Styela clava: one gene and its partner. The protein of the gene in region 1 purifies or fractionates together with the protein of each later gene. This does not show direct contact. Links are inferred from orthologs where the notes say so. Each region holds a gene or a part of one and is shown on either strand. Other genes may lie near its edges.

Region 1 (11,266 bases):
CATTCGATGGCGCAATGAAGCAATCAATGTCAACTAACCTGATCAATCCAAAACTGCAGACCATCATGGCCATGATAAATACTGCAATCTTTGCCGACATTTTTCTTCGATTTGAAGTTGTCTTGTTTGGTAGACTGAAATCGACTGTGTGGGCTGTCCACAACATTCGCATTTTTATACTTTTCTCTTTCCTGTGTGTTAGCAGATGTTTCATTAATAATGATTACAGATGTTTGTATTATTCCATGAAATATTTTTTCTGATTACATTCGTATAAATAAATATTGAGTACTTTTTACTAGTTACCATGAATTGGACGCGGTTTGTAGCTAGTATTAGATATTCGATTTATAATAATCTAATAAACAAGAGGGCTGTGCTCAAATATATGGACACCACCTAGTGGCAGATGTCGATGACGTCATGGCACACAAAAAAAAATCCCATATAGCTCACCGGAATATTTGAAATAAATAAAAGTAATAGCCTTCTAGAGAAAAATTTAATCTTTGAGCACTGAAAATTTCAAAGCGATGGTTCCAGTAATCAAAGAGAAAGGCGATTTTTTCTGTGACAAAGAACAACTAGAAGAAGAATAGTGCCAGCATAAAATGCAAAACGATGGTTTCGTTCACTAACGTGTACATGAATACAACAACAAGATTTGACTCTTTGATCGAACTTACATACAAAATATACATAAAAATCATTTGATGAAACGATCGTACATAAGTTATACTGATTGGCATGATAAAACTATTGCAATCTAAGAACTTTATGGGGAAACAAAGAAGCTGACAAACATTTTCAATGGATAAAAAGATTTAATGAGTAACTTCATATTTATGTGCACATTTTATTAATGTAATAATCTGCAGCAGATGTATTTATCGTGTTACATAATTGAATAACTTGAAATATTTCGACGAAAACTCATGTCATCAATATATTGGCAGCTCCTGGTCTATCCAATAATTATTATGCAATAAAACAGATTAACTGATACCAGACTCAATTTTTCATGGAATATATAACTAATGAATCAAAGCGGAAATTATTATAAATTGCCCGTTTTATTTATACAAAGATATATCAGTAACTCAATTTAAAAAACGCAATATGGTGTTGCAAAATTTCTGAGCAAATTGGGGGAAATTTTTTAATAAACTGTATTTCTATAACAGACGTATGTTTCAAGCTAAGTAATATCATTTAGTTGTTTTATTACAGTAAAATCATAATTAAGTTGTTTTAAACTTTATCATGTTTTATGAATGGACCAGATGGTACCAACATATTGTTGTAATAAATCTTCTAAAAAACAAAAGAAATTAAATTAAAATTCTAATCTGTGAAAATTTCCTTTTCACGATCTTCTCAAAGTAACAAAATATTGCTAGACAAAGAATGACCATGTGGCTTTTTCAAGCATAGCAGTTTTGTACGCTATACAGCACTTCTTATCGTGTTTCCCCGAAATTTAGACAGGATTTAGATTTATTTTTTTTTGAAGAATAACACTATTTTTTTTGGAAGAGCTCTTTTGTGTTCATTTATCAAAAATAAAATTTGAATTGTAGAAAATCACAAGATTTTCACTAAACATCATATAAAAACCGACATCTATTGTTTTTATTTGTATTTCCTATACAAAAATCAAGTGAAAAATATCATAATTGTGATATCACACAATCTTGAACAGTGGTGTGATCTTTATCTTACCTCGGGCCAATGAACCTTTCCTCTTCCACACATTTTAAATTTATTTTAAGGGTAGGGTTTAATTAAAATCATTTTGAAAATTCAAATTATTATCTTATTTTCAGACTAGGTCTTCATTTCGAGGAAACACGTTAGTTTTGCGATGATTAGCCATTGCTGTGTTATGTCATAAAAAAAATCAAATTAAAGTTAAGTGGGTCGCCATAAGCTGTGGTAATAAATAGTCTGTCCCAACTTCATCTAGAGCAGGTTCCCAATCTTTTCACCCTGACGGGCCGGTGAAATTGATTAAAATGTACTCGAGGATTGGCAAAATATTTCATGAATTAAACATAAAATAATAACATATATATGCACAATAAATACAACGTCGGGCACTCACTGTTCGTCTATGGGTAAAAAAGCACACAGAAAACATTTTATATAAAGAAAGCAGGTCCATGCCAAATCATACTCAGACACAATTAACACGAGTGAGAATTTTGCTTCTGTTTCGTTTCCAATATAAAAGGCAAACGAGGCATCAGGAAGTTTCTGCAGTACGTATGTCCGCAGTGAGTATTGAAAAGAACTTGGGAACAAACTAAACACATCTTTGATTTGGAATCAGGCACGAAATCCCGCTGGGTATACTGTAATCGAGAAAAGATCTCTGCGGCCCGTGCTTTTGTTGCGGGTATCGTGACCTCCTGTAGGCTCACATCAGGTTCATATCTTACTGGATGCCAAGGAAAGCCGTGGAATATTATACTGTTCTTGACTGTTTTCTTACGGCCTCGGGTATAAACAGAGAAATATTAATAACCACTGTACATAAAAAGTACGAAGAACAAAAAAATACCGGTGTCGATTTTAGGCTTCTGACACGTGGGAGATTTAACGGAGCGCTTTCATGACGAACCGGAAAGGCGAATTTTAAATGAAGCTAACAAACATAATCAATGGATACAAGATTTAACGAGTAACTTATTCATATTTCTGTGCAAATTTTATTAATGTAATAATCTGTAGCAGATGTATTTATCGTGTTACATAATTGAATAACTTCAACGTTTTGTCGCATGAACTTTCGATGACAATATAGTCAATGAAGACAGCCGTGGGGGGGGGGGGGGGGGGATGTAAATGTAGGCCCCTAATGTAAAATTTAAAGCTAAAAAAATAGAAGGTATTGTACGTACAAATCTCAGGTTTAAGTAGAATATTATATGGTATATATGGGTTGAAAGGGCAATTGACGTCATCGTTAATTGTGACGTAATGCTCCACTTTGGAGATGTCAATTTTTTATATTTAGTAAATTAGGCTTTTAGCATTTTGACCCACCAAAATTTAGGTTCCCCCTCGAGGGTCACCACGAATTCGATTTTTAAGCGCTTTACAGATTTCGGCCCATGGCCATCATGATTGATGTCTATGGACCTTTCCCCGACCTTTGACCCTCGGAAAATTCTCCCTATACTTTACCATTGCAAAATTGTCAAGGCTATTTCAAGAGTGCTTTTGCGAGTTGGCGTCTGTAAAATGGGGTATGTGTTTCAAACCATCATTATGATTCATCGCATACAACAATCTGTTTTTTAAAAGTACCGGTAAAGAATTTCAGGCTAGTCTATCACAGCCTAATTTTTATTACTGCAATTAAATTAAAACTCCTAGAAAGACAGAGTGATAATAATAATAATAATAATAATAATCTTTATTTTGATTTCCCCAAAAAAACATACACATAACAAATAATGAACACATAAAACAAACACACAGAATAATGGGAAATCGGGAAAACAGGCAAAACCTCGAGTAGGGTTTAAAACACGTATAAATACATGTGCCTGTTCACCCATGATATTACACTCACAAACATATTACAAAAAAAAGATAAAAACACGAACGTGTTATCGTTCCAACGTCCGGGCGTCTAACTTGTGTTACAAACAAAATGCAGGTGCGTAGGTTCTAATTTAAAACTGTTTACGTCGAAATGGACATGATTCGGGCTGTGTTTATTAAATTGGCGTAAACAAGTGCGAACTAGTGAGTTAGATAAAAGCAGTGTCAGAATGAGTAATAAATAAATCGAAATGTCTTTTGGTTGATTTCCTCTTTGTAAATAAAATCCGACGTTGTGATGTGCTGTAGTGTGCTAGGTGCAATGTTTCATAGAAAATGCCTGTCCATCTCTTTTTCCTTAGTTCTTTGCAAAGCAAATATGTAAAATTGGAATCTTGGGTAGCCTGTACAGCAATGCCAAAGTAGTCTATTATTTCGTTGTCCATCAATTAGGATGTTGATTGTTTCTAATTTTTGTATTCCATTTGTTTCCACTAACATTGAATTGAATTGAATTATCTGATTTTTATTTAAGTTCCCAAAACACAACTGAAAACTAACGAATAGAGTTCAAAAACGCGAAAACGAGGTAATGTTTACAATCACGCTTGAAAATCTGTCTGAGTGAGAAAAGTGTCTGAGCGAATGCGAAAAGGGGGCATTGTTACGTCACTTTTTGCATCTTGCTGATTGGCCAATGTCACGAAGTAAACAAGGAAGTCCATGCTCGGGGAAAGGTCCATTGCTTTGATGTCACGAAAATATGGCAACCCTAACTTAATCCAATATCCGACAGGTCACAAACATCCAGCCAGGCTCAACCAAAGTACAGGGAGAATATTTCAGGGGTCAAGGAAGGACCGGGGAAAAGTCTATCTTATCTAGATTTCGTGTCCAATAATGACCAAAAAACTCAGTGATGACTGTCTTTCATGTGATTCTACTTGTCGAGCAGACCGTGATCAATTTTTGTGAATTTATGACGTGTTGTTGATCACATGCCTGCGACTGCTCGCTTTCATCCTGTTCATATCTAAGAATCTGTAAGATTGTTAACTGTGATTGAAGGTTCAGATTGTGTGTCGATGATTCGTATAATATTTCAGTTGGATATTTGGCAAATCCCAAGCGTGGTTTTGGTCAGGATAGGATAGGATTTACATATTTATCCAGGGGGAGAGGAAAGCCGATAAGACGGCTTATGCATATGGCGAACCACGGCCTCTCGTCCGGTTAGCATTCCAAGTCGGGTATGGGATTAGTTTTACTGTATTGTTTGTTTTTCGGAAGCATGGACTTGGTGGTGGAGGAAGCCGTCAGCATTTACAGATTTATGGTACCGGTAACGACAATCCTTACCGGTACAAGATTAGGTATTACGGTAATACCGGTACTGTACCGGTACCGGCACCGTACTGTATTACGGTACCGGTACCTGAATACTGGCATCCTGCCGAATACTGGAATATGGTGTGACCCAATTTGTATTTTCTTTCTTTGTTTTGTTTCGTTTGTCTATTTCTCTTTTTCCAAGTACCGGTACTAAAGTGCAGAAGTAATACAGTAATAGTAGGTCTATACCGGTACCGGTACCGGTATCTTAATATACGGTGCGGTACAATTTTACTTCGACGTTGTGGCACATCGTGCTAAGTGTTAGGAATACACTCGCCACCACATCTCTGATTTACGGTACCGCACCCTGCGTGGGTTCGCAGGTTTGAATCCCATGCGGATGCGGGGATGATCATGTGCGAGAGGATTGCTGGACTCCTCACCGCCATAGGGTGGTTCACGTAACCGCTGGTCGTTTACTGCTTCCTGGCTTCCTTCATCATCAAATCCATGCTTCGAAAACAAAATAACTGGCTAACTAATCCCATACCCGACCTGGACTGGTAACCGGACGAGAGGCCGTGCTGCCGTGGTTCGCCATATGATTAGCCGTCTTGTTTCCTTTCCTCTCTCCCGAGATAAATATGTGAATCCTATCCTTATTTCGATCTTTCGTCTACAACACAAATTAAAATAACAAAACACAGACAAGGGCAACTGGAAGGTCGGGAAAATGGGCAAAACAGGAAAATGATTACACATCATGACAATCATACTAGAATAAATTAATGAACGAAGTACATGATCACCAGAAAATGAATTTCACGGGCGAAGCTTACTAATTTTGATGAGTGAAAGCTGTGTAGAATATAAAAACAAATAGTTATGTGACGGTGCCTGTGCCGAAATGTGAATACCAATAATAACAAATAATTGATTAGCTGCTGTTTTTTGTAAACAAATAAAGCTAAACAACAAACATGAAAACTAGTTTTGGGCGTTGCTTCGTATGTCTGTATGTTACAAAATTGGTTCGAATACGTAGAAATTGGAGTAAATGTTTTAGTCTTAGCAAAGTCCAACATTCCGGAGCTTGCTGTCAACAAATGATCAACGCAAATCTTTTTAAAGCAGCTCCAATGTATAAATGATATACAAGCTAGTCTGTATTCAATCCTGTTTGTCCGGTTTTCCAAGTTTTAGTCTTGAAATTTCTTACTCCGGTACTCCACTGTTTAATACCACATTCGCACCCGATGGCGGTCTAATGTTTTTCTTTTTTTTTCCCTTCTGATTTTATTTTGTCTGCGTGATTGTATGTCTGTATGTATAGATGTATGTATGTGCGCGCATGTTTCAATTAATTTATTACCTTTGAGTGAGCAAACATGACCACTTCCATTAACAACACCATTTTAATCTAAAATGTGTACGTTTCAAATCAGGCAAGAGAAGAGAATGCGGCTATGCGCATTAAAATGAGCGAAATGGCCAAAGATTAAACACAGCGACAAGAGCAAAAAACTTTATGTATTTTCATCTATATGAGTGTCGTTTTTCTTGACTTTACTTAGGAGTAAATTTTTGCAAATGATTAGGTTTACTTTTTTTTTACTGTGAACAAATATTATTAAAAACGAATGCTTAGGTTACGACATTTCATAATCATCTTAATATTTTCGACAGAATCAAACTAATTACTTAGAACTTTCTGAACATTACATATCAATGGCCGAGTCTACACCAAAATCCGAAGAAGTAAATGGAGAAAATTCATCGAGTGAACCATCTAATGCTTCTGCGAATAAAAACAGCCAATTTGAATGCAATATATGTTTAGATGAAGCTAATGATGCTGTCATTAGTTTATGTGGACACTTATTCTGTTGGCCATGTCTTCTTCAATGGTTGGAAACAAGACCACATCGACAGGAATGCCCAGTATGCAAAGCTGGAATCGATAGAGACAAAGTTATTCCTCTTTACGGACGAGGTAGCACCAAGCAGGAAGATCCACGGAATAAGATTCCTAAAAGGCCACAAGCTCAGAGACCAGAGCCAGAAAATAGGAATGGATTTCACGGATTTAATTTTGGTGATGGCGGATTTCAGATGTCATTCGGTATTGGTGCTTTTCCCTTTGGACTTTTCGGAACGTTTTTTAACATAAATGACGGCCGACCTCCCCCTCCGAGGCCAGATAACCCTAATTATCAAGATGAACAAATGCTGTCGAGAATCTTCCTTGGAATTGCTTGTATATTAATGTTCTGGTTATTATATGCATGAGATTGTGATTGTCAGTTTAATCGTAATTAATTTATAACGGTAAGTCTGGGAAAAAACGACCGCACTTTTTTAAATATTTTGAAGAATTTTATGTTAAAATAGAATAATTGTAAAGGACATTCATTTATTAAAATCTGAGAACTTTATAATTATTTACGTAATAATAATAGCTATGCATTATGTGAAATAAAAAATGAAAATAGAAGTCGAGTAATTGAAAATATTGACATATTGATAAGAGTTGCTTCATACAATGATAACATACACTAGGGTTAACTAGCTCCAACTGAGAATCTGATATTAAAAGTAGGCAGTGTCTTGCATGGTGTATAGTGCTTCATAGTCGTCACTTGGCGTAAATTATTTTTTAACTACCGTAGTTACAGTGGGGTTCGATTTTTATTAATGTACATAGCTGATACGAAATATGTTGTTTATTACCTTGTGCTTTTTTGTTATTGATTGTTAATTAAGTCAAACACATTCTTCGATCAACTTTGCATTGAACAGCAAATCTTTATTTTTGGATTTGTGTTTGATAAAAAAAACCTACAAATCAAATTTTTCAATTAGCTAACGGTTTCATATTATTCATACTTCATAGTGCTTAAGAAAAACTACTACTACTATCGCAATTCGACACAAAGTGTACATGTACATCGATTTGCTGAACTTTTGTTTTCTCTGTTGAGTCTTTTGGAACCCTATTTTTATCGGAACCTTTTGAAACACTTTTATTTGGTACTTGACCCATGTAATCATATAAATAGGAATTATAGATTAACTCATGATATTGAAAAAAGTCATGAATTTGTAGAGTGATTGTCACATTATCAATTTCTCTGTTTCACTTTCTCTGTTTACGATTAATTTTTCGTTTTCACAAAAACCATATAAGATTCATGGGTATATTTCACTAGAATTCCAGATTGTGCGATTTTTATTCATTGTATGTCTCTGTCCTAATGAATAGGAAATGTTCGGTGTGTATTGATTATATACCGCTAGCTCATCATAATTGCTTTGTATTAGTTCAATTTTATTGTTCATCTGATTTGGCATAAAGGAGATTGAAAACGATTCGAATATTATCAGACCAATATCACTTTAATAAAAGAGAACATTAAAAAATAAAAGTTAAATCTCTATTTTTTTGTGAAAACACTTTTATTTGTCATTTGAACTTTTGTATCCATATAAATAGGAATGATAGAGATCAATAGGGAATATGTAAATTAAATTCATCCAGAACTTTGTGTAGGCAAATGGTAGGCTATTCGTTTTTGGCCAGCCCTGGTTGTAATGATTTTCAAATGTCAGTGTTAATCATAACAGAAAATCCTAATCCATTACCTGGTCAGATTTAATATAGCATCTAGCATGGATTAGCTATTTTGAAGTTAGGCCTTTTTATGGATTGCATCATGTCTTTTCTGAGTAGGAAGAAATATACAAACCGGGACTGATGAATTACTGAAACAGATGTATGGGTGGTAACTGGAATTTATCTAGCAGTTTAACGATTGTTGCTAACTGCTAAATTATTCAATGTGGTTCACACAGAACTGAGATAATTTTTCACGTCAGGGCTGGGCTCCAGCTTCCTACCCACTGGTGTTTTTTGTTTTGATCACTACCATAAAATATCAACGCAAATCAATCTCAAGTTCAACTCGGAACTTTGAATTAATATTAGAAATTGAATTTTAAAAATATTGTTATTTGTAAGAGTAAGAAGTATAAATGTGATAAATAATTAGGAGCTGAAGCCACTAAAATTTTGGGTAGCCAATTATGGTAAGCTTAGCTTTACCTCTAACATAATGTTACGGCTCCTCTGCCTTGGTTCACACAAAGTATCTTCAAGTGTTATAGTAAACGGAAGGGTGTTCAAGTATATTTTGATGTTTCTATTATTTCGCATAAGGACTATTTCATGCTTGCTGTGCTGTTATTATCTGTGACTGAATAACATAATAATACTGTTCATGTTTTTTATTATTTTTTTTTTGATAAATGTTGTTATGAAAGTACAGAATTATATGTTCATAAGGTAATACTGGGTTTGCTACCATGCAATTCATTTTCATATTACATTAAGAGTAGATTTGTTGTGCAATGTTTTATTTAACTAATGCTCATTGAATTTGTGCGAACTTGCTTATTACAGATTGTAGTGTATGTCAGGGAGAAGCTAGTGGGAGGTGGTTACGTGGGTCATAACCCCCAACCTCCCCGTTTGAAGATTTTTTTGATGCAATGTAATTTTTAATTTCTGCGAGGCGAGTTACAAGCAATACTGGAATATATTCAATGGCGTTCCGCCGGTAACGACACACAATTCTCAGTTTGAGCCGTGCATTGTACCTTTGTTGCATTTTTAATGCCAATGTGACCCCCCCCCCCCGGTAAAAAATCCTGGCTGCACCCCCTGGTGTATGTATAGAAATTAGAATTGTTGCATTCAAATAATGAAGTGTCGATTTTATAATAAATGTCTATCATTGCAGGATTGATACTCTTTCAGTCCATAAAATTTCGTTTTTGCTTTCTCCCAGATTGTCCAATTGTCACTCTTTTGTTTTGTGTATAGGTTCATAATTATTACTTTTAAAATTGATCGATAAAATACAAAAATGCAAGAGCCTGTCGACCATACCACACATAATCCAGACTTGGTGACTGTTATGCCGAATGGAGAAACCGTACCAGGAGGAGGAATTGTTACACACCATGTTGCAGACAAATTTTTTGCGACAAGGGTAGGTTGTTACCTCCCGGTATATTGGCTTCAGCATACTTTTTCATTATTATAGTTATTAACATTTTTTAAATTCAGATATGAAAATTACTGTTTCAAATGTAAAATTTACCAATTTTATGCTAAAATTTTGCTTTTCTCTTCATGCACCATGATTTTTATTTACCGTAACATATCTTATTTAGGATCAAAATTATTTGCGAGTTGAAATTTCGAAATATTAAACTCTGTGATAGCAAGTTAGCAACATCCTTAATCATGACCATGTCTCAATTTTGCGTGAGAGACTTTCTTTGATTTAATCATAAGACTTGTTAACAAATCAAAAGCAATGTAGGCCTGATTCATAAATGTTCTATTATTAGTGAATTTTCATTTCTTGTTACTTGAGTAATTAGAAAAAATCCAAAAAAAATGACCAAATTGTATAAGTTTTTGAATATACTATGCATAAAAGAACCATCATTATTCTAAGCCCACATTTACTATTTTAATAATTAACTAAAACATTTATCTTGTCCATAGGGCAATAATCTGGACATGGCAGTGGAAGATGTGAAAAACCAACAGTTGAATCAAGAAATTGATGGATTGGTCCTTGGAAGATGGCTTCTAACAGAGTAAATATGTTAAATAATTAACTGTATATTACCAAATTGCTTATCAATACTTACATTGTATGATTGTTATTATCAATAGTGCATGGGTATTATACTTAGTTTTGTTAGTTTATTTCAAGTTCAATGATGGGTACTCCCGTCGTGAGTGTACCACGTTAGGGTTAGGGGCAGGGCATAATTTTATTCTGATTTTCCCTACTTTTGTTCTATTACGAGTTCGAGAACTGTCTGTGTTAGCCAAGTAAATATACCCCCTACCCATAGGCTACCGTCCCGTTATGCAATTTGATGTAAAGTAGGCGAACAAAATTAGTTACCTCCATATTGGTATGCACACTTCTGGAGCGCCAAATGATGTAACACATGACAATAATTTGTGTAGCCTATTATACAGTTGAGTTTGGTGAAGGGTTTTCACTCTAATTGATTAGAAAATCAATTCATTATTTGCATGGTAATACTTTATAGATATGCCATTAGTATTCCAGTTTGCTTCTGGCAGTACTTTCAAGATCATTTTTGTGTTTACAATTTCACAAATAGTCACATTGCAAATACATATATACTAATGATGAAACCCACCCTTATTCCAAGTGGTATTTTCTTGTGATTCTTTGGTTTTGATTGCCATAATTTCTATTATTCGGCACATAGTGCCGACAGAAATTTTCCACATTTTAAAAGAATGGAGCTGGCTATCTGTTCACAT
Region 2 (11,035 bases), on another chromosome or scaffold:
AATAGTTAGTTTTTGTATTGTGTGTACCCCCTTTCAAAGTTAGCTCCTGTGTATTACCGCTAGTGGGCAGTGGTTCACTGATGTGTATTCTTAGTTACCGTAAGGCCTCTTCGGCAAGAGCCTGAAACCGGGAGCGCACATAGTAAATTTGCTCATCTACTTTATCTGTTTATCGTAGAACTATTGGTTGGATAGACACAATTGTCATTTACCGCAATCAATTCCTGTATAGTTGCTTTATTGGATTACATTTAATAACTGGATATTCTGTTTAACTGTGGATTTACTTGGATTAAAATATCATTTCAAACAACAATATCAGAGCTGCATATTTCCAGTGTATCATAGACAGCAAGACAGGTTTTGGGAGCGCGTATAAATGCATTGCAGTCATAGACTATTTGCGGGGCTATTGAACTAAGTTGGACTTTGGCTACCGTAACAATTATAGAGGATGTAAGTGATCGCTTTCTAAAACATAATTTAATAGAATAAGACAAATAGTTGAAGAGAAAAGCAATTTTTGTCCAAATACATTGAAAACAACAATATATATATAGACTGATATATATATATATATATAATTTTCGCTAGAAGGCATTTACGTTTATTTATTTTTAAAATCTCTGTGGGTTCTGAGGGATTCGTTTTTTTTTTTGTGCGATTTTGTCTTTTGTGACAGATTGAATACCCACACTACTCAGTTTCGGCCTTCTTGGCCTCCATATATTTGGACATAAATCTCATGTTTCATTTCATATATTGTTTAAGTGGGCATGTTTTCTCGGTAAGATATGTCGAGGAACGAGAATCGGAATCGATAATTTAGAAATCGAATACTTGGAAGTAGTCATACTATGCATCCTTAGTTTCTACTGAAATTGTTTGAGCAAGGAGTTTGTGATGCCAAAGAAGCTCTTACAAATGTTAAAAATGAGAGAACCGTAACTAATCCAGTAAAGTCTCTAGGAAATACTGAACTATTAGCCAGAAACTTTTCAATTATATACTCTTGCCTGGAATCTTGAAGACAGCAAAAATGTAATTAGTAACAGAGGAAAAACTACCACTGTTGTGTTCTTGTATTTATGCATATTTTAAAAAATTATATCTCACACACAAGTTTAATAAGTTCCATTGAGTATTTTTAGCTGGGGATGGAAGAATGGTGTAAAATGCTGAATTGTTATAATAAATTAAGATAGATAGATAGTTTATTTCGAAAACTCCATAACAAACCTAAATTTAAAATGGAGAATTCTGGAGGGCAAGCAAAACCTACAAAAAAGTTTAAAACATGAAGTATCTCATGTGCCTGCCCACCAGCACGCACACAAAAACACAAGCCCAATTAAATGAGGCTTGGGCCAAACTTAAAAAACAAAATACACGATAGTAATAAACTTTCGGGCTGTTGTACTCTCTTTCAACAATTACGTTGATAATGACCAATACCTACAACCTCATGCAAAGATAATGTGGGGAGTGGAATGTAATAAATTTGCGACGATAGTCATACTCATGAAGCCATGAAAGCTTTAAGAAAAACCAAGCCATGAAAAACTACACTGATTGCTAGATTGGGCATTGCGGAAAAGGTGATAAGTGGTTTAATATACAAACAAACGCAAAACCATGGCGGCAAATTCGATGTGCGGACACTCATAAAAGCAATTATTAGGAAAACACTAATCACGCGTGAGCAGGTCTGTAGCCTAATTGATACATTGACGTGGCCAACATTGTTAAAACAGTACCGGTATACACACAGAGAGAACAAATCAAAAATATGCCACTAAATGAATGTTTAAAAATGTTACACTGCAAACTATTTACACATATATAGTTGAATACTCAGTATTCAAGCGGAATTTCTAGAAATAGCAGTATATCATACTCTTCGTCACAAAATAAAATATCTGAATCAATCCCTGTTGTATTCATCTTTCGATTCTGTTATGATGTCCGTATGTTGCCTTTATGCTGCCATGTAATTTCATATTTCGGCCTTTACTTGTTGATATTCCTTAAGTGCTGGTTCATTGTTGTCAATCTAATCTTTCTGCGCCGTTCAAAAATGCGACCGCACCCGACGACTGCCAAACACAAACTTTAAATCCAATCTTTTATCCATAAACTTCTTTAATTCCGGTGGATGGGCTTTGATCATGTTAATATCACGAGATACAAATCTAATAGTAAATACCGAAACACACAGCGCGTAGCATTCTCAGTCCAACAGCATTGATTGATCTTTCATCTAACAGAGCAACAAAAACACGTCCGACCCAGACGGCAGTCTACTCGGCAGCCTCGATCACGATAGGAGAGAGATAAGATAATACAGCGATTTTGTTATTTGCACCTTAAAAGAAGAATCGCTGGGCATCGGCGTGATCTATATGTGGGCGAAGCAATGTCCTTTACCTTTGCTTGGGTATACTTAGATCTAGGATAGCAAAAGTCTATATTTGACCACAAATTGCCGATTGTGACATTTCGTAATTGGGACTAAGAGATTCCCAGAAATCAGATCTTCCGCTTATGGTGATGTGCTTGCCATTTCAATCAAATAAAACTTCTGTCCGTAACTTCTTATAGATAGGAATGACAGGCTCCCAGCATTCAGACAAAGTCTTCTTAAGAAATGTGGTTTGTATTTCAATCAAATGATCCATGTACAAATATACAGCAACTGTCTATGATGACTGTTGTATGAGCTCGAGCATGGAGGGGTTTTGCTGTAATTATCGGTATTCAAATCGTGAACATCTGAAAAAATGTGATATGCTTTACAACATAAGTCTGTCATTATTAATGATCGAAGCTATAACCAATCTTACCTTGTAACATTTGCAGAAGTAAATAAGATAACTTTCTTTCACTTTGGCATACCGGTACTTTTTGAGGGGAGGCGGACAACTCGACTACACGGACAACTCACCAGAGACAACTCGACTACCTAGAGGCCTGGTGAGTTGTCCGTCTTTTGACATTTTCTACGGTGGTGTTTTAGGTCTATAGAAATGCGTTTTTGATATTTTTAGTGCTCAAGTGTTGAGAAAAACACATAAATATGCTCTAGAAAGCATTTTTATTTGTATAAGTGGCTTATTTTGATCATGTTGTACGAATACAAATACAGTCTACAGACGAAATTGGAGTAACGTTAGCGAAGTTAGACTGTTGACTTATAGGACTGTGTTCGTTTAATTTTTTGAACTTTATTGGTATTAAATGTTTTGAATGAGCACCTTTAAATATATTAAAACCTTTATACTTCACAGTAACACTTAAATATTTATGAATGTGAGCTCCGTAGTCTATGGTTGCAGTAGTCTGCAGTCGCCCGACAGGCCGTCAACTCACCAGTCGAGCAAACGCTCTGCGACGTGACGTCATCGATGCTCGAGGTGAAGACAACTTGACTACCGAGCAACGAGAGGCAGACAACTCACTAGTCGAGCAATCGCTCTGCGATATCGATGCTCGAGGAGAAGACCTTGCTTTGTAAAACAAGAGATGCTAACTCAAGAGTTGCATAGCATTTACTTAGTGCCGACTGATATTAGTTGTAAGCCAACTCACCACGGCAAGGTTTCAGTCATAGAGTTGGAATTTCTTTTTGCAGAATAAAACCAGGAACAGATAGGCACTGTCGCTGCGCCTGGCAAAGAAACTGGGCCGAAGAATGGATAGAAGATGTTTACTTTTTGTCACGATTAATGAATTTAATATGATGTTTGAATACTAAACGTTATGGGGGAATTTAATGGATGGAAGGTTTTGTTTTCCTTTTCGTTACGAATAATGAATTTTATTTGAATACTAAACGTTTGCTGCGTTACATACTTACTCTTTGCAATACTGCGGCCCGTAGATCCTTGAACACCTTCGAAGAAGAGAGTCCACAGATAACTCTCTTTCCTTGTTCTGTTCCCAGACACGTTGCACCCTCTCGTTGGCTTCCGCATACCTGCCGTTGACACGCCCCACAACGTCCGCCTCTATCCCTATACTTACCTCGTACATTGTTGAGATTAAACTGTAAAAAGGCATATTTTTCCGAGTTATACTGTTAAAATGGCGGTGCCAACCTTCCAGATGATTGTTGGTTCTTATTTCTACGTCAAATACTGACCAATCATTGGGAGTCCAGACACTGTTGTATAGCCATGTGTTTTGAAAATATTCGGCGAAGATCTTGAGTTTGCATCTTTTCGTTCAGTGATTTGAATATGGACGTAATAAACATAGCTGGTATATAGCACAGCGCCATGGCATGCTTGATCAGGTCTCTTGTTCCAGCGTCCCTAAAACAAAAACATGTTAATACAAAAGAAGTGAAAGATGTACAAAGACATATATAAATATGGTTAACCACTCACTTGTCGCATAGGCGAGCCAAATTATTGTGACGCACATTCTTCATGATGGCCTGAGTGAAGTGATATCCATGCACGGAGATTAGATAAGGTACCAGATCGGTGATAATGAAGCCGCGCGCCGAGATTACTGCTCGGTTATCGCCGAGTTTAAAGCCTCATTATCGCCGGCCTGCCCCCTACAAACGTAAATACTCATTAGCCGAGGTCGTTTTCATCACAGTTTTATACTGAAACGAGGACGACTAACGGTATATTAACTCCACAAAAACTACGCAAGAATTCAAGATGACTACTCCAAAAATGTGACGACAACGTTACCATGAAACAGGAGGGACTCATCTGTGACGTCTGTCGAAATTGGTTTCATCGCAAGTGTTTTAATAATTCAGATGTGGCAATGACAAGGGAACAGTACAGCCTATTAAAAAAACAGGACGTAACGTTTGAGTGGAAGTACCCGGACTGCTACCAGGCCCATGACACCCATCATAACTCCAACCCGATTGTTGTATCCCAGCAGATGGAACCTAGCCGTCGGCTGGTAGACTACTCAGGCGGTGAGTTGGCTTACAACTGATATCAGTCGGCACTAAGTAAATGCTATGCAACTCTTGAGTCTGCGTTTTGCAAAGCAAGGTCTTCTCCTCGAGCATCGATATCGCAGAGCGATTGCTCGGCTGGTGAGTTGCCTGCCTCTCGTTGCTCGGTAGTCGAGTTGTCTTCACCTCGAGCATCGATGACGTCACGTCGTAGAGCGTTTGCTCGACTGGTGAGTTGACGGCCTGTCGGGCGACTGCCGTAGTCGAGTTCAGACTACTGCAATCATAGACTACTGAGCTCACATTCATAAATATTTAAGTGTTACTGTGAAGTATAAAGGTTTTAATATATTTAAAGGTGCTCATTCAAAACTTTTAATACCAATAAAGTTCAAAAAATCAAACGAACACAGTCCTATAAGCAGGGTTGCCATCTACCCAGAGCCAAAAATAAGCACGGGCGTCAAGAAGGAGATCATACACGAGTCTTCCAATTTTGATCATTAGAAGTCGCTTCGAACACGGTTGTAAGCAGCTCCGAAATTGCAAAAAGCTATGGAGTCACTGCCACACGCAATCTCTAAAGCAGGGAACTTTTTGTCGCTCGCGGGCCAAAATCAAGTGTTACGAATCTTGGCGGGCCGCACATATTTTTTCGAGAAAGTTAAAAACTGAACGGGCGGCTGATGAACCACATTATTTACACAGATTAGAAATTGAAGTTCTAGACTTTAATTAGCGAGCGAACACTGCTACAACACGTGGACTCAAGTCGTGCAAAATATTTACAAATACCATTTAATGTAACACTAATATTATTTGTTGCATTACGTTTGATACCTTTTCGAAATCAGGTGACACACTGGATAAAACCAAAATCAGAACATTTTCTACATTCACCAATCCAAGTTCTCCGAACGGAAAATTTTATATTGGTTCAGTAATTGAAAACAAAAGCGATTTTTTATAACGATGGGAAAAAGAATTCACAATGGAGAACAAGACCAACATAATAACGATCCGTAAGTTCAGTGAAGCATTGCGGGCCGATTTATTTTTGTCCGCGGGTCGGATATGACCCGCAGGTGGCCGACCCCTGATCTAATACTTTGGATTCCCGCAATGCTTATTATGTGTTGTGGTAGTATTGGGGACACTGATTACCTCCCCCTTTCTCAATGTCGCAATAGTAGTAGTTATTAGCAAATTCCTTTTCATATTCGAACAAGGACTCATGATTACGCTTACTAGTTGTCTACTAGCCATTCACGTTTCTAAGAGAAAATAAGCACGCAACTCAAAAATAAGCTCTTTTCTTAGAAATAAGCACATTGTTACTTTATAAGACGCGGGCTAGAAAATAAGCACAAATCTTAGAAATAAGCACAATATGGCAACCCTGCCTATAAGTCAACAGTCTAACTTCGCTAACGTTACTCCAATTTCGTCTATAGACTGTGAAACCGCCTCGCATTTGTTTTCGTTTGTTTCACACTTGACTGATTTTGTGATTTGCGTATTCTGCGATTGCAACATAACCTCACACATTGATGTTGCCATGTTTCTAGTATTGTTTTGTAATTATTTCTAGGTTTGTATTGGGCATAATTAATGCTGCTCAAGTAGGGTTTAGTACTAGTGTAATTTATGATATTTTCCTGATGACAACCTACCCCGATTTGCAGACTGTTAACGAATTAGAACATAGAATTATGCTAATTTGTCCTGTGTTGCTAGGCCAGCTCTCTTTGTGTTGTTGCTTATTTCTGGCAACGCTCGTTCTTTCGCTCGCTGCTTTCTGGGCGGGAATGTTGGCAGTGATTATCTGCTCTCCAGTTTTGTTAGATTTTTAGCTGTTTAAGGTCTCTTAGGAACCGGGTTTTTAAGTCATATATTTAGTAAAAGTTACCTTTGAATCTTTCCCAGCTCTATTCGCGTTTAGATGTTCGTTATTCTCAGTAGGCTAGGAAAACAGTTGCAAGTAGTTATTTCATGATATTTTGTGTGTTTATTTGTTAGATCTGATCAAATATAGAGCTAATTAAAATAATAGCTTCCAGTCAAATAATTGGTTGTTCTTTGAGTTGAAGGCTACATCGTCAAGTAAGTCTTTGATTTATCGTATTTTATGCTTTATTTAGTGATATGAAACTGCAATTTTAAGGTAAACAATTGTGCTGTATTTTTGGCTTTTTCAATTAATTTGTGATTCTAAATTGATAAATATTGTGCCTTTTAAGTGCTAATTGGTTAGATGTTTGGTAAGTTTTATTGTGTGACATATTTTGAGACTGTTTTCCATTTCTGTTTAGAAAACCGTACAAATTGACAACTGTATACTGATTCGTACTTTCAACTGTAATTGAATTTCAATCGTACGTACACTGCATTTTAAACGTACCTTTTTCGTGACAACAAGAAATTTCAAAAGGCGATTTGTACGCGTATTTTTATTGTGGAGTCTCGAAACGATTCAGAGAGCAACCGTCCGTTAACGCGTGTTGGCGCTAGATAGCGACTCCGATTTGGCGCCTACAGACTGTATTTGTATTCATACAACATGATCAAAAAAGCCACCTATACAAATAAAAATGCTTTCTAGAGCATATTTATTTATTTTTCTCAACATTCGAGCACTAAAAATATCAAAAACGCATTTCCATAGACCTTAAACACCACCATAGAAAATGCCAAAAGACGGACAACTCACCAGGCCTCTAGGTAGTCGAGTTGTCTCTGGTGAGTTGTCCGTGTAGTCGAGTTGTCCGTCAGCCTTTTTGAGCTGCTACCCGTACCACTGGCACCTGTATTCATAAGCACCTGTAGTGGACATAACGATCGTTTCAAAATTTTGTTGTTATTGTTATCATTTGTCTCCATCAACACGTTTTGAAGAAATGGCTTTTCTCTTCGAATACTGGACCAATTGCTTTGAAATTTTCAGTGGTTAAAGATAAAAATTTTTTCCAGAAGGCTATTACTTTTTTTTCGCTATGACGTCATCAAAATTATGTGACTCTACGTGTCCATATATTTGAGCATAGCTCTCTTGTTTTATTTTAGATGACAATTTTTGTCACTGTGTTGTTTTTGCAGTGAAATTGAACTAGGCCTACAGCATCACCGTTTTGCGTCAGGGAGTGTTTTTTTGTTCCATGTTCTTGTAGGAAAAGCACTGTTGTGTTACACCGTAAATATATACTGTTACACCATAAATATATACTACTACGTTACACATACACGTCTCACATTTTAATTTAGAAGGTAGAAGTTTATTGCATCCCATTATTTACTTTAATTGGCTGTTTTTGTTAAATTGTTTCCAAAGTACTGCCCGATTGTAAATCGCGTTTTTCTGTGTTTGTTTTATTCTTTTTTGGTGGGCGGGCTCGTACATTATACGCTATTTAACTTTTTTTAAGTTATGCCCGTCTCTCAGGTATCTCTGCATTTTGTTTGTCTGTTTACTTTTTGTATTGTTTATGTCAAAGAACCAAAATAAATGATTGATTGAAGTCAGACCTAGCTGCGTCGGCTTTCAGAGCAAGAAATCGCAGCCGTCACTTCTTTTTGCATCAAGTCGCAACAGGTCAAAGGTTATGAATGTCCCTAATTGGTCTTATTTTTACCAACTGGTTCATTAATTGTTTCCCACACTGTCTTGATGTTGCCTTTGTGAGAGACAAATTTAACGTTAGACATATAATAACTTGATTTTTTTTGGATTAGCCAAGCACAAAAATTCCTGTATTCAGGAAACGCAAAAGCAGATAATCTAACCACAGAGTGAAGTAACAACAACGTAGTCACGTGTTAATCAGCTGAGAAAAGTCGAGTTGTAACTACTAACTAGTGACAACTACATATACCGTATCTCGTACCGGTTTACGTTGCCAAATGCAGAAATAGGGGTTTATGAGTAGACTATAGTGAATTTTGCTTTAGTTGCATATTTTCTTCTTGACATGTCGTCGTCTTACCTGATTGACGGAATTGGCGATGAGGTAACAGTATTGTTAGGCGTTCTCGTAGCAGTTTTTGTCGTCATAGTATCGTGGTTGTCCACGAGAGTGAGCGATTCCAGTGGAACCACTGAAAGGTGAGTGACTAAGATTAATATTTTTTTTAAATCTGTAGGTTGAACTACTGTGTTCTAATATTTTGAGTTTTAAATTGGTCGAATGAAACTTGATAATTAGACTATAATACTGATGTATGAACGTTTTGCGTAGTGCAAATTTTGTAGCCATAAGTTTAAAGCTATTTTAAGGTTGCCGATGACAAGTAGCCTAGACCGAATGGTCATTTCGCGGTTATCCTGTCGATTTGGTACAAATATTTTGTGATCTTACTCACTTTCATTTATTATGCTTTATCGGAATGGCAAAGACTGGATTGTGGTGGTTTACTTCGGTTAGTTTCTGTTCCTGTGTTCTGCTAATTATAAGCTCATACCTAAATTCTGGCTGAAAAGGCGGGGCTTTTTGGCTAAAATTTGGACCTGACGCCGTGTATTATAAAAATGATCCTGCCTAGTCTACTGGTTGACAAAAACTTTGACTCCATCGCCAAGACAACATAATTTTTCTATGTAACTGATGTAAAGCCAAGCCTCCTAATTGCATTCTAAGAATGCTTAGTCAACTCAATGATTTTGAGTTCTGTTGGCAATTTTTATTTATCGTTCTGTCATTGGAAGCCTGAAATTCTGACTTTGATGCGTTTTAAAATCAGAATTACAACTCCTGAACTTTGGCACCAATAGAAATAAAAATATGATAAACCCACATTCCGCACCCCGGACAGCCTCACCAAAAATATCAGATCTCCATCAATGCTATGTTATATTCTGTTTATCAGTTTTCAAAATAGTCAGCAGACATCTGCAACTGTAGAGAATCAGACACACAGTGCATCAGCCCAACCAAATGTTCCAACAGAAGCTGTCCAGACAGGTAAAAATGTTTTCAGTTAAAAACCTATTCAACAATGAGCCAGTTCAGCAGTTAGTGTACTTGCATAAAACAGTATATTAATGACAAAATCAACATATCATTATCAGTATTGTCTTCTATACTAAATCTATTCATCTTTTTACAGAAGAATCTTCTTCAAATTCAGATGCTTCTGGGCCCACACAAGATGAGTCAGTTGTGAGCAACTCATCACCAAATGATGCTCCAGTATTAAGACATCGAATTCTTCATGATGCACAAGCATCTGCACAAACACCTCCGACACAGGAATGTAAGTCTTTTCAAAAATTATAAATTTCAACAATTCCAAAAACCATATTGAATTTTTACAAAATGTGTTATTTATTGTCTTCTATGTTCCAAAATCAGTAACTGTGATCTAATCAGTTAGATTAATTTGTTTAACTTTTTATTAAGCACCGACTTCCTCAACCGCTGAAGGTGGTGCAAGCATCACAATACGTTTGAAATTTATGGATGAAACTATACAAACTGTGAAAGCTAATCCTGATGAGACATTGGAAAATTTTATGAGGTTATTACCTTTTATAATATATTATTGGGTGTAATACCTCATTTTGTCATTATTGGGCAATGTTTAGAATTCGAATAAGATATCGCATTGTTGAAAATTGTGGAGAAATTGAAAATCTGGCTATAACAACAGTGTTGTCATTTTATTGATTGTTATTAAAACCTCTGAGGCAGTATATATTGCATTCTGTTATTTTTTTTTTATATGTCACTTATTTCACGCCTTTTGCTCTGAACAAGGCTCTGTACAAGCAGCCACTGGAGCTAAATTATTGGAAAAACCGGAATCTTCACAGTCACCATTGCCCATACAATTATTCACACCCTGGGTGGGTGTCCGAGATGTACTGATGCAGTGCCAATACAGTTAGGTCCAATGTTTCAATAACTACTGGGCCATTGTGCATTCTGTTGTTTTTGTTGAAACACCAATTTAAATTTTTACAGCCGACAATTCACCTCTGATACTCGTAATCGATATAGATTAATTTATAGAGGACAAGTTTTGAGAGATCAAAGCCGGACTTTACGCCAGTTTAATTTAGTTGGAGATACCACTGGGGAAAATCCAACTATACCAATGATTCACTGTTTTCTG

The links.
Region 2: the proteins of E3 ubiquitin-protein ligase RNF185-like (region 1) and transmembrane and ubiquitin-like domain-containing protein 1 purify together in Homo sapiens (affinity purification with western blotting; 3 studies listed by BioGRID and IntAct, with this or other methods). This does not show direct contact. The link is inferred for Styela clava from reciprocal best matches to the Homo sapiens genes RNF185 and TMUB2.

Annotation. Positions count from the first base shown.
Region 1 is NC_135251.1:12,012,634-12,023,899, reverse strand, and holds E3 ubiquitin-protein ligase RNF185-like, read left to right. Parts: upstream 1-6,560; 5' UTR 6,561-6,615; coding exon 6,616-7,176; 3' UTR 7,177-9,769; downstream 9,770-11,266. Other genes in the region: tumor protein p63-regulated gene 1-like protein, read left to right, coding at 9,813-9,938, 10,463-10,557. UniProt on the Homo sapiens protein: E3 ubiquitin-protein ligase that regulates selective mitochondrial autophagy by mediating 'Lys-63'-linked polyubiquitination of BNIP1.
Region 2 is NC_135252.1:10,062,908-10,073,942, forward strand, and holds the start of transmembrane and ubiquitin-like domain-containing protein 1, read left to right. Parts: upstream 1-6,791; 5' UTR 6,792-7,030; intron 7,031-7,239; 5' UTR 7,240-8,892; coding exon 8,893-9,026; intron 9,027-9,787; coding exon 9,788-9,882; intron 9,883-10,027; coding exon 10,028-10,174; intron 10,175-10,320; coding exon 10,321-10,438; intron 10,439-10,884; coding exon 10,885-11,035.